3 separate regions of the Mus musculus genome follow, and all the other regions are reported to be linked to region 2. Evidence: microRNA targets listed by miRTarBase, many of them from high-throughput screens and not tested one by one. Region 2 holds a microRNA gene; each other region holds the end of a gene's coding sequence.

Region 1 (3,355 bases), not on the chromosome of region 2:
TTTTTTTTATTTAAAAGGTCTCAAAATTAAGATGAGTTCAACTCAAGATGGAGTTTGCTTTTGGTTTTGGTTTAATGTTTGGTTTATGGAGACAGAGTTTCTCAGTCCTGGCTGTCCTGGAACTCACTCTGTAGACCAGGCTTAGCCTCAAACTCAGATCCACCTGCAGCTGCCTCCAAGTGCAAGGATTGAAGGCGTGGGCCGCCACCATGCTGCTTAGCTACAGTTTTGAGGTACCATAAGGATGTTGGGAATTGAACTCAGGTGCTCTTGGAGGAGCAGCCAATGCTTTTCAACTTTTTATTTATTTATTTATTTTTGTGAGTCTCACATTATGCACCTGCACCCCAATCTCACTCATCTCCCCGTCCCTTCACATCCCCCTCTTCCCTTGCAACTTCCCCACAAACACACCCCATGGAGAGCATTTTGACACGGACACTATAGTGTGCCAGGGTGTGTTCTACAGTATACCTACCCTCTTGTCCACACATCTTGCAAATGTTCATTGCATTTAGTCACTGGTCTGGTTTGAGTCTTCTTGCTTCTGCAACACTATCAATACTGGATCCTCACAGGACTCCTCTTAGTTATCCTGTTGTTGGCCTGGATCATGGAAATCCTGCAGCTTTGGATCTGTAGGACCAGCCCTTGCACATGCTCCAGCAGCTCATAGATGAATTAGATTTTGGGGTGGGACAACTCAAAGCGCTGGATCTGGGTGGTAGCTGAGACAGATGGCTAGCCCACCAGCTCTCTCATATCTGCACCACCAGGGCAAGCTTTCTAGCACTGCCCTTGCTAGCTCACCCAATACTGCAGCTGGCAGTGAGGGGCTGGGCCAGCTCTCCCACTCACTCCCTCAGAGCTGGCTGTTGCCCAGACAAGGTGCAAGGCCACTCTCCCAAGTCCTGCCTGTTCTCATGACCTAGGACCTGCCTCAGGTGTTGAGGGATGGGGGAGGGCATCTCCACTGCACCCATGTCCCATCATGGCAGTGGGGCCAGCTCTGTGCTGCTCCTGCAAGGTGGAAGGCCTGCTCTCCTGATTGCTGCAGCCAGTCAGGGGTGGGGCCAGCTCTGGATATCTGGATATCAGCCCTTGGATATCTATGAGGTCTCTCCCACACAGCAGCCCAGACCAGGGAGGTCTGCATGGTCTATGTAGTAATATGATCCAAGAAATCAACAGGCCCCTGCTACTACATGACCACAGACCCAGACATGACCCGCAGTGACAGCATGACAACCAATGCTCTTAACCACTAGAGAGACATCTCTATCTCCCCCCTTACTTCTCTATATGTCTACCACATGGATGGCTGGAGGACCCAATTTAAAGCAGCACTCTATCACCTGCCTAAAACTGTTGGTGGGGTGGGGGTGGGGGAGATATTAATATCTGAATTTAATGTAGCCCCAGGAGTTTAGAGATGTAAACTGTACAGGACTGAGCATAATTTCTGTGTTTTATCCATTTTTTAAGGCAAAAGTCTCACTATACAGTTCAGGCTGCCCTCAAAGTCAATATCTTACTATTTCTGCTTCTCAAGGTCTGGGATGGATTACAGGAGTGTGAGAACCCTAAGGGATATGAATTTCAGACTGGCCTATAACAGGCAGCAGCACCATGGGCTCCTTGGCAGCCAGCCAGTACAAATCACCCAACATCCAGATGCCCTTTTCTTTCCAAGGGACTGAGTGTGTGTGTGTGTGTGTGTGTGTGTGTGTGTGTGTGTGTGTGTGTGTGTGTGAGAGAGAGAGAGAGAGAGAGAGAGGGAGAGGGAGAGGGAGAGGGAAAAGGAGAGGGAGAGAGTATGTTTAGAGAGAGAAAAAGAGTTTAGAGAGAAAAAGAGAGTTTGGAGATAGAAAGTTTAGAGAGAGAAAAAAGTTTAGAGATGAAAAGAGAAAAAGTTTAGAGAAAGAGAAAGAAAAGTTAAGAGAGAGGGAGAGAGAGGGAGAGAGTGTGTTTAGACAGAGAAAAAGTTTAGAGATAGAAAAAAAGAGTTTAGAAATAGAAAGTTTAGAGAGTTTAGAGAGAGAAAAAGAAAGTTGGGAGATAGAGAAACGAGAGAGAGAAAGAGTTTAGACAGAGAAAAAGTTTAGACAGAGAAAAAAAGAGTTTAAAGATAAAAGAGAAAGTTTAGAGAAAGAGATTGTTTCTCTGTGTACCCTGGCTGTCCTAAAATTTGCTCTAAAGATCAGACAGGCCTCAAAGTCAACTCAAACATTGTCCTGCCTCTAGAGTGCTGGGATCATAGGTGTAGATTACCATGGCCAGTGGGACTTGGACCTTCTAAGGGACTTTTAGAATTTGTATTTAGACGGATGAGCCTAAAACCAGAGTGACATCCTGATAGGGCAGACTGGCAATGTGAGGATCCAGATGAAAAGCCACAACAAACTACTAACATTGTTTTAGAATATTCTTTTTAATGATTATGTGTTTCTGTGTACATGAACACATGTGTAGTAGGTGACCAGAGAGGCCAGGTGAGGGCATCCGATCCAGAAATGTAGTTACATGGGTGCTGGGAACTGAACTGCAGCCCTCAACAGGAGTGGTGTTAATCTCTCAACACCACCCCCTAACATTTTTCTTAAAATGAAAGAAAGAAAGAAAGAAATCTAAAGTGCAGGTCATCAAACAATCAGCCCAGATTTCCACGTTTTTTAATCGTGTATCTGTGATGGAAAAGCAATTGTTCCATCATATAGGCTATTTTGTTTTGTTTCTTGTTTGTTTTTTTTTCCAAGACAGGGTTTCTCTGTGTAGTCCTGGCTATCCTGGAACTCACTCTGTAGACCAGGCTGGCCTTGAACTCAGAAATCTGCCTGCCTCTGCCTCCCAAGTGCTGGGATTAAAGGAGTGGGCCACAACTGCCTGGCTATATTTTTTAAAAAATATATACATATAAAAAAAAGATGTCAAGATGGAGAAGACAATTGGAGCGTGGAAGGAAGCACATTTCTTTCACATTCAAAGCTCACAACACAGCCCCACACACAGACAGGCGTTTTGTGCTCGGCATACCCTCCACCTCCAGTTCCAGGGGCCGCTTTTGACTGGAAGTCTGGAAATAAAGCAAAAGGAGAAGTGTTTAAGAGAAAGCACAGCTTCTATCAAAGCTCCTCATAGTTCAGTAAACTAGGGGCATTTCATGGAAATGACTAGTTGTCATGACAACCGAATCCTCCTCACACACCTCTGGAATCAAGATGCTTATCCATGCTCCCTGGCGATTTCTAACCACTAATAAATGTACAGCCACTTAAAAAAAAAAAAAAAACCTTTCAAGTGACACAAAAGCAAGTTCAAATTGGATCTTTCCTAGCAAAATTCTGGGTGAGGTATG
Region 2 (3,000 bases):
ATCTGATCATGCTGCTTAGTTATATAGTTTTGTGATATGTATAAGTTAAAAATTATGCTATAACAAGTAGACATGGAATCATTTTGAAATTAGTAAATCATGGTTCCCTTCAGACTAGGAGAAGATCATACTGATAAAACACATGAGAAACTATTGTTACATGCTTAAGCAGTCATAGTGCATGGGATTTATTTGAGCACTGGACTATGATGCACAGGAAGTCTAGTGGCAAGTTAACATCCATAGAATTGGAACAGATAGAGATGGTACAGGAAAAACACCAGTATGTTAAGGGAGCAGAGGTCCATGTACTAGGAAAAAGCAACCAAAAATATAAACTGATACATAAAACACTGTTTTCCTATAGAGCAGTAGACAGTTAAGATTCCTCTTCAGGAACCATAGGGTATGAGCAGACAAGCATGTTATGTGCTCAGACAACCATGGTGCATGAGTAAAAACCTATATGGATTCTATAATACAAAAGTAGATGTGATACAGGAACAAATAACACGGGAATATGCCAAGATAAACAAGAGATGAGAATAAAGGTAGCATTCATAAGGCCACCAAGACATGGCAATGATGCTAAAGGCAATAACACAACATATATTCATACAATTCTCTGATGATGAAGCATTGCACCAACGTGTATTTCCAGACATTACAAGCAAATAGTTTGACTATAGCTTAAGAGTAGATGGTCAAGTATATTAGGGAAAAATGATTATAGAAGAGCAGAAAATAATCATGTTATGATTAATAGAATACTCCAGATAGCATTGATTCAAAGAGAGTCAGCACTCCATTGCATAAGCTTATGCCACAGTCTTTAAAACTGAAGTGTGGACACTATGCCCCTCCTTAGAATAGGGAACAAAACACCCTGGGAAGGAGTTACAGAGACAAAGTTTGGAGCTGAGATGAAAGGATGGTCCATGTAGAGACTGCCATATCCAGGGATCCACCCCATAATCAGCATCCAAACGCTGACACCATTGCATACACTAGCAAGATTTTGCTGAAAGGACCCAGATGTAGCTGTCTCTTGTGAGACTATGCCGGGGCCTAGAAAACACAGAAGTGGATGCTCACAGTCAGCTAATGGATGGATCACAGGACTCCCAATGGAGGAGCTAGAGAAAGTACCCAAGGAGCTAAAGGGATCTGCAACCCTATAGGCGGAACAACATAATGAACTAACCAGTATCCCGGAGCTCTTGACTCTAACTGCATATGTATCAAAAGATGGCCTAGTCGGCCATCACTGGAAAGAGAGGCCCATTGGACACGCAAACTTTATATGCCCCAGTACAGGGTAACGCCAGGGCCAAAAAGGGGGAGTGGGTGGGTAGGGGAGTGGGGGTGGGTGGGTATGGGGGACTTTTGGTATAGCATTGGAAATGTAAATGAGCTAAATACCTAATAAAAAATGGAAGAAAAAAAAAACACTATTGCAAGTATCATTGTTTTACCATAAAGACATGTACATTAGCTGCAGAACTGAGACTGGCACCCATGACAAGAAATCAAGGAATATCATATCAGCACCACCATTACTGTTGTCACATATACTTCACAACATTCTACTCAGTGTTGGAAATGCAATCATGTATTAATATGTACAGATTTATGAGACATCTTTGGCATTTTGTGGAAATAAAAGAACAGAAATGCAATTTGAGGTATTCAAGACCCCACAGTTAACAATCAATACTTTCAAATTCAAACACAAATATTTTGGCTTCACCGCCCACCGTTTTAAGTACAATAATAAATGACAATATGCTGTGAGTCACCTGACAGACAGCCATGGAACATGGTTTAAAAACAGAGTAATGAATGGCTTTGTTCCAGAAGCAGATGGCAATGTTGTAAAAGTAGGTACCATAGCACATGCTCAAGCATTCGTGGTGCATAAGCAGCCACCACAAGCATCTGAGCACTTGGCTAAAATGCACACACAGAGCATCTTGCAACAGGTGTTAATGCCATGTTACAGGCGAAGACATCAATGACAAAGGAGAGAGAAACTCATATTAGTAGGAAAGCACACAGTGTACAGATTAACATGAAAGGAGCAAAATATTCCATTTCTGAAAAAAACAGACTGTCATTATGTATACAAATCGTATAACAACTTCAAACACGTGACTGAAAATTTTTAGTTATGTAACCATTTTGGATAATGACTCAGTTCACATATGAAAAATGAAATGCATGTGATGCCAAAAATAATAAAATAATAAACTCCATTCAACTTTATTAAAAGAATGAATGCATGCCATTGGTCTAAGAGAATAACTGAATAGTATAGGATGCTTAGATGACTAAAATGTAAGAAAAAGTCTTGGAATATATGTTTCTAATATATAGCCGTACACCTACAGAACACAGGCTACTAATTGTAATACCAGTACATGTCGACAAATTACAGAAATAAACCGTGATGTGATTATTACTCAGACATGGTATGCTAATAAGAAAAGTATATAAGCAATGGATACCTCTGCTTCAAGAGGATGACAATGAAACCAAATCAAGTTACATGAAATCAGGCCATGGCATATGTGGATTTGTGCTTGTTTCTGGTAAAAAAAAAATCAAAGGTATCCCATTATATGAAGAAACAACTATTAGTATTGATAATAGAAACTGTATATGAGCAGTCAGCATAAACTGAGGGATCCTTCCCTGTACAAGATCTACTGGCCACAATATTACAACTAATATTCATACTAATGCAAATCATTCTATATTCCGAAGGAAATCATGAATTTTTTTGTCTTTTATACTTAGGATGGGTTAGTAGTTTCCATCATGTATCTTCAGATAACAATAGTGGTTGATAGTGTACACATATAATAAGCAATCAGATAAACTACAGTAGTGGGTCGAGACAGAAAGATAAGCTCAATTCAACATCCACAAACAAAATAAAGTTTTCAGTCAAGAGAAGAGGTAAACGGTACAAAATGAAACCTTGTGCTAAATGTTCAG
Region 3 (3,355 bases), not on the chromosome of region 2:
GTATGAGCACACATGTATGTATACATGGACATTCACATGTTTGAGCATGCATGTGGTTAATGCCATGTGTCTTCTTTGATCTCTCTCCACCTAAAATACGGAGAAATGATGTCTCAGTAACCCCGAGCTCACTGCTCTGAATACTTTGACAGCTGTGGGGATTCCCTGTCCCAACTCCCGTGTGGGGATTTCAGATGGGCGTCACATAGACCCAGCACTTACGTGAGTTCTAGGTGTCTGAATTCTGTCTCTCACACTTTGCCCATCGCTGTGCCTCGGCCTCTTGTATTTTTTTTTTTTATAGTCTTAATATTCTCTCCTGTTTTCTAGGCAATGAATGGCTACTTCAAGAACAGACCCCATCTGGAGACATAGAGAATATTTCCAATCAGCCGGCGATTTCCCTGCAGATTCCTACCCATTGCTTGTCACTGGAAGCTGTGGTGTCTGTCGTCGTGTTTCTTTATTACTGCAGTGCAGACAGCAGCGCATGTATGATGAAGGGAGTCGTGTTCAGGCAGCCTTTGCAGATAACCAGCACCCAGCCAGCTTGTGCAGCTCCTGTAGAGCTCGCATACGCATTCTAGAAGGCTGGCCAGCAGCCCTCAGCACAGGCCCTGTCCATCCTGCCATTCGTCGCTTAGGGAAAAAGCATTATAGTAACCCATTGCTCAGTTGTAACAACTGATACCAAAATAAAGCTGTGCTCCTTATTAGTATTTTAATTCTAAACAAATTTCTTCATTTTAGCTGTGTGCTAGCCAAGTCATTGACCATCATTTTACCACGGCACTGTAAGCTTTGCTGTTATTTGTTTTAAAAGCAACAGTCCATGCTATATCAGAGAGTATTATATTTGTAGTCAAAACTAATCATGCCAGATAGTTTAAATAACCTGCCTTTATCAGTAGTGGTTATCCATTCGTGTGTAAATTTCCAGTAACTTGAGATGGGCCTAAGCTGTGCGCCTTTGTGTCAGGATACCTGCTGTTTAGTGTCTAAGGTCTGCTTAAAGCCAGAACAGAAAGTATTCACTCGGCACAAACTCAGCGTGTATGAGTAGTTACTTACCTCCGGTGATTTTTCTCACTTGAGGTATTTTTAAAAGAGAGTTTTAATCTATTTTTATTATAAATTATTTGTTTTAACATTCTATTATTAATGCCTTATAACTTTATATAAAAAAGAAAAATATAGAATTTCTAAAGGCATGCAGACCTACCTTTAACTGTATTTAATGAGCATAATTCCTAGCAGGCAATGCCTGGCTCCCAGAGGCATGCTGACCTGGGTGTGGGTGGAGACTGCTGTGTTGCTGTGTGTGATGGGTTATTGTAGTGGCTAGGCTGGCTGTCATGAGCATCATGCTATTTTGGAAATTTAGATGTCAGTTTTAAGAGTTAAGTAACAGAATTGTTGGGTTTGAGATTTTTGTTACTGTTTTGGTTCCCATATTTAGAATTTAAATTATGATCATTAATTCTGATATTTTGAAAAATCACATGTAAACCTTCAATTTGCTATTTTCAGGGTATAGTTATACTAATACACTTTCATTTAAAATATTAGGGCTGAAACACACAGTGATTTACTGATACTGTTTTGGTATGTGTTTTCTTTAACCCCGTAAGAAACAGCACTGGAAGGGATCCTGGAGAGGTTTGGTTTTCATTGTTAACTTGAATTATCATAGATTATCATCATAACTGTTTAAGAGCCTTGCTCTTCTAAAACTGAGTGGACATGTGTTTTACTAAGACTACAAGGTTTCAGAAGCATTGTCTGAGCCCCACCTATAAATTTAATAAGCATTTAAGCATAGTCTACCTATTTATTAGTTAATTTTTGCAGTAGTTTTTGATAGGTAACATTTGCTTGTTTTATTGTTCAGTTAACTAAAAAAAAAAAAAAATCTGAAGTGAAAACTTGCTGACTTCCGTTATTAACTTAGAAATGCTGTTTCTCAGGAGCAAGGCGAACGTGAAAGGGAGGGGTCCTGTTTAGAGTTGCCCGTGGTTACCTCAGAAACCTTTGCACCTAGAACCAGCCAAGGCAGCGGCTCTGCAGCTCCAGCCTGGAGCTGGTGGTCTGTGGAGGGCCTCAGAGCGCCGCAGCCCTCGTTGATTTGTTGGATTCCTCGTTTATTTCCAGTTGGACGGGATGAGAATATTTTGGTTCAGTCATTTCCTGTTTGAGGACATAAACAGTTTCACTCTCTAAAACAGGGTATATACAGTTTAGCTTGTGTGGAAATTATTTTTCACTCTGAAAATACAAGCATGTATTCTGTAGTTTGATGTACCTTAAAAATCCCAAAATATTCTTTAACTCCCTTGATTTTCCCTTTGCCTGGGTAGGATCTTACTTGAGTCTTCAGTGACTGCGGGGATCTCGGTGGCTGCACACCCCACCCACCTGCCTCTCTGCACTGCTGGTCACAGCAGAATGTTAGTGGGGATGGACGGAGAAGGTGCTCAGTGAGCAGAGTGCGCTTTCCTAGGGTCAGGACTGACACAGTGTCTGCCAGGAGGAAACCTTGGTCACAGCACTTCTGGAGCTGCAGCGTCTCCTGTCCTCTCTGAGAGCCTTGTAGTTGTCCTGAGACAACTCTGTCTGCCTTGGGGCTCACACCACTGAGATAGGTTATGTGGGCCTCTGTTTTGCAGTGTGGGAAATCTAGGACTTAATGAACATGTGTAACCATGGTTTCTCCACATACGCGGAACTGACTGTCTTTCTCCATCCAGGGAAAAGTCTTCAGCTTCTGCCTTTGCCTCTGGCTTGGCAAAGATCAGAGTTGTTAACTCATTTGGAAGATGGTTCTTTGCCGTGCGCAGAGGCCCTGGGTTCAGTCCTCAGGAGGAAAATGAAATCACGAAAAGCTATGTTTTGTAGTGAACAGTAACATAAAGCCACGTGCAGGGGCCGTGTCACCTAAGCTCTAAATGAGCAAGCCCGTGCTGTCTCACTGAAATTCTACCTCTGAGAATACTCAATGGCCAGTACTTTAGAGAGTAATCTAATCTTCTCAAAGATACTAAAATAATCTGAATTGTAAGCACTAATAATTTTTCTAAAGCCACTTCTGTTACCAAAGATGGGGGTCTATTTAGAGTCCTTTCATTTACCAGTTTCCTTTAAAATTGTAGTTGGTGAGGACAGGGATAATTACGGTGTTTTATTGTTTAGCATGGTATAGTGGCAGGAGTATAGACTCTAGCAGTGTCTTGCCCTGCAGAGCTGGGCTGCTGGACCAAGCCTGGGCTTGCCGCCAGGCTTCAGTAAAATGCTCCCACGGCATTTAGCAGGGAGTAATTTATGAACTGCTACTTATCAGTTTAGTTCTAATAATGAC

What was found. The annotated mature microRNA mmu-miR-105 reads CCAAGUGCUCAGAUGCUUGUGGU and lies in region 2 at 1,928-1,950, opposite strand. An mRNA with a match to its seed (bases 2 to 7 or 8) in the 3' UTR can be bound and repressed. Matches are read on the target gene's strand: a 7mer-m8 pairs with bases 2 to 8, a 7mer-A1 pairs with bases 2 to 7 and ends in A, and an 8mer does both.
Region 1: the mRNA of Chek2 is a reported target of mmu-miR-105. Seed matches in the 3' UTR shown: 7mer-m8 at 2,849-2,855.
Region 3: miRTarBase lists Nhlrc2 as a target of mmu-miR-105. Seed matches in the 3' UTR shown: 7mer-A1 at 1,088-1,094.

Annotation. Positions count from the first base shown.
Region 1 is chr5:110,873,198-110,876,552 of GRCm38, reverse strand. It overlaps Chek2 (checkpoint kinase 2), which reads right to left. Exons shown (of 15, transcript NM_016681.4): 15 at 2,413-3,073. The coding sequence ends at 2,987. Among named protein-coding and RNA genes, the nearest start is that of Ttc28, 4.9 kb to the left of the region's middle.
Region 2 is chrX:72,589,620-72,592,619 of GRCm38, forward strand. It overlaps Mir105 (microRNA 105), which reads right to left and starts at 1,960; the gene lies at 1,881-1,960. The region is part of intron 1 of Gabra3 (gamma-aminobutyric acid (GABA) A receptor, subunit alpha 3); the gene reads right to left. Mir767 (microRNA 767) reads right to left here and starts at 475; the gene lies at 369-475.
Region 3 is chr19:56,596,926-56,600,280 of GRCm38, forward strand. Nhlrc2 (NHL repeat containing 2) reads left to right here. Exons shown (of 11, transcript NM_025811.3): 11 at 331-1,921. The coding sequence ends at 587. Among named protein-coding and RNA genes, the nearest start is that of Nhlrc2, 50 kb to the left of the region's middle.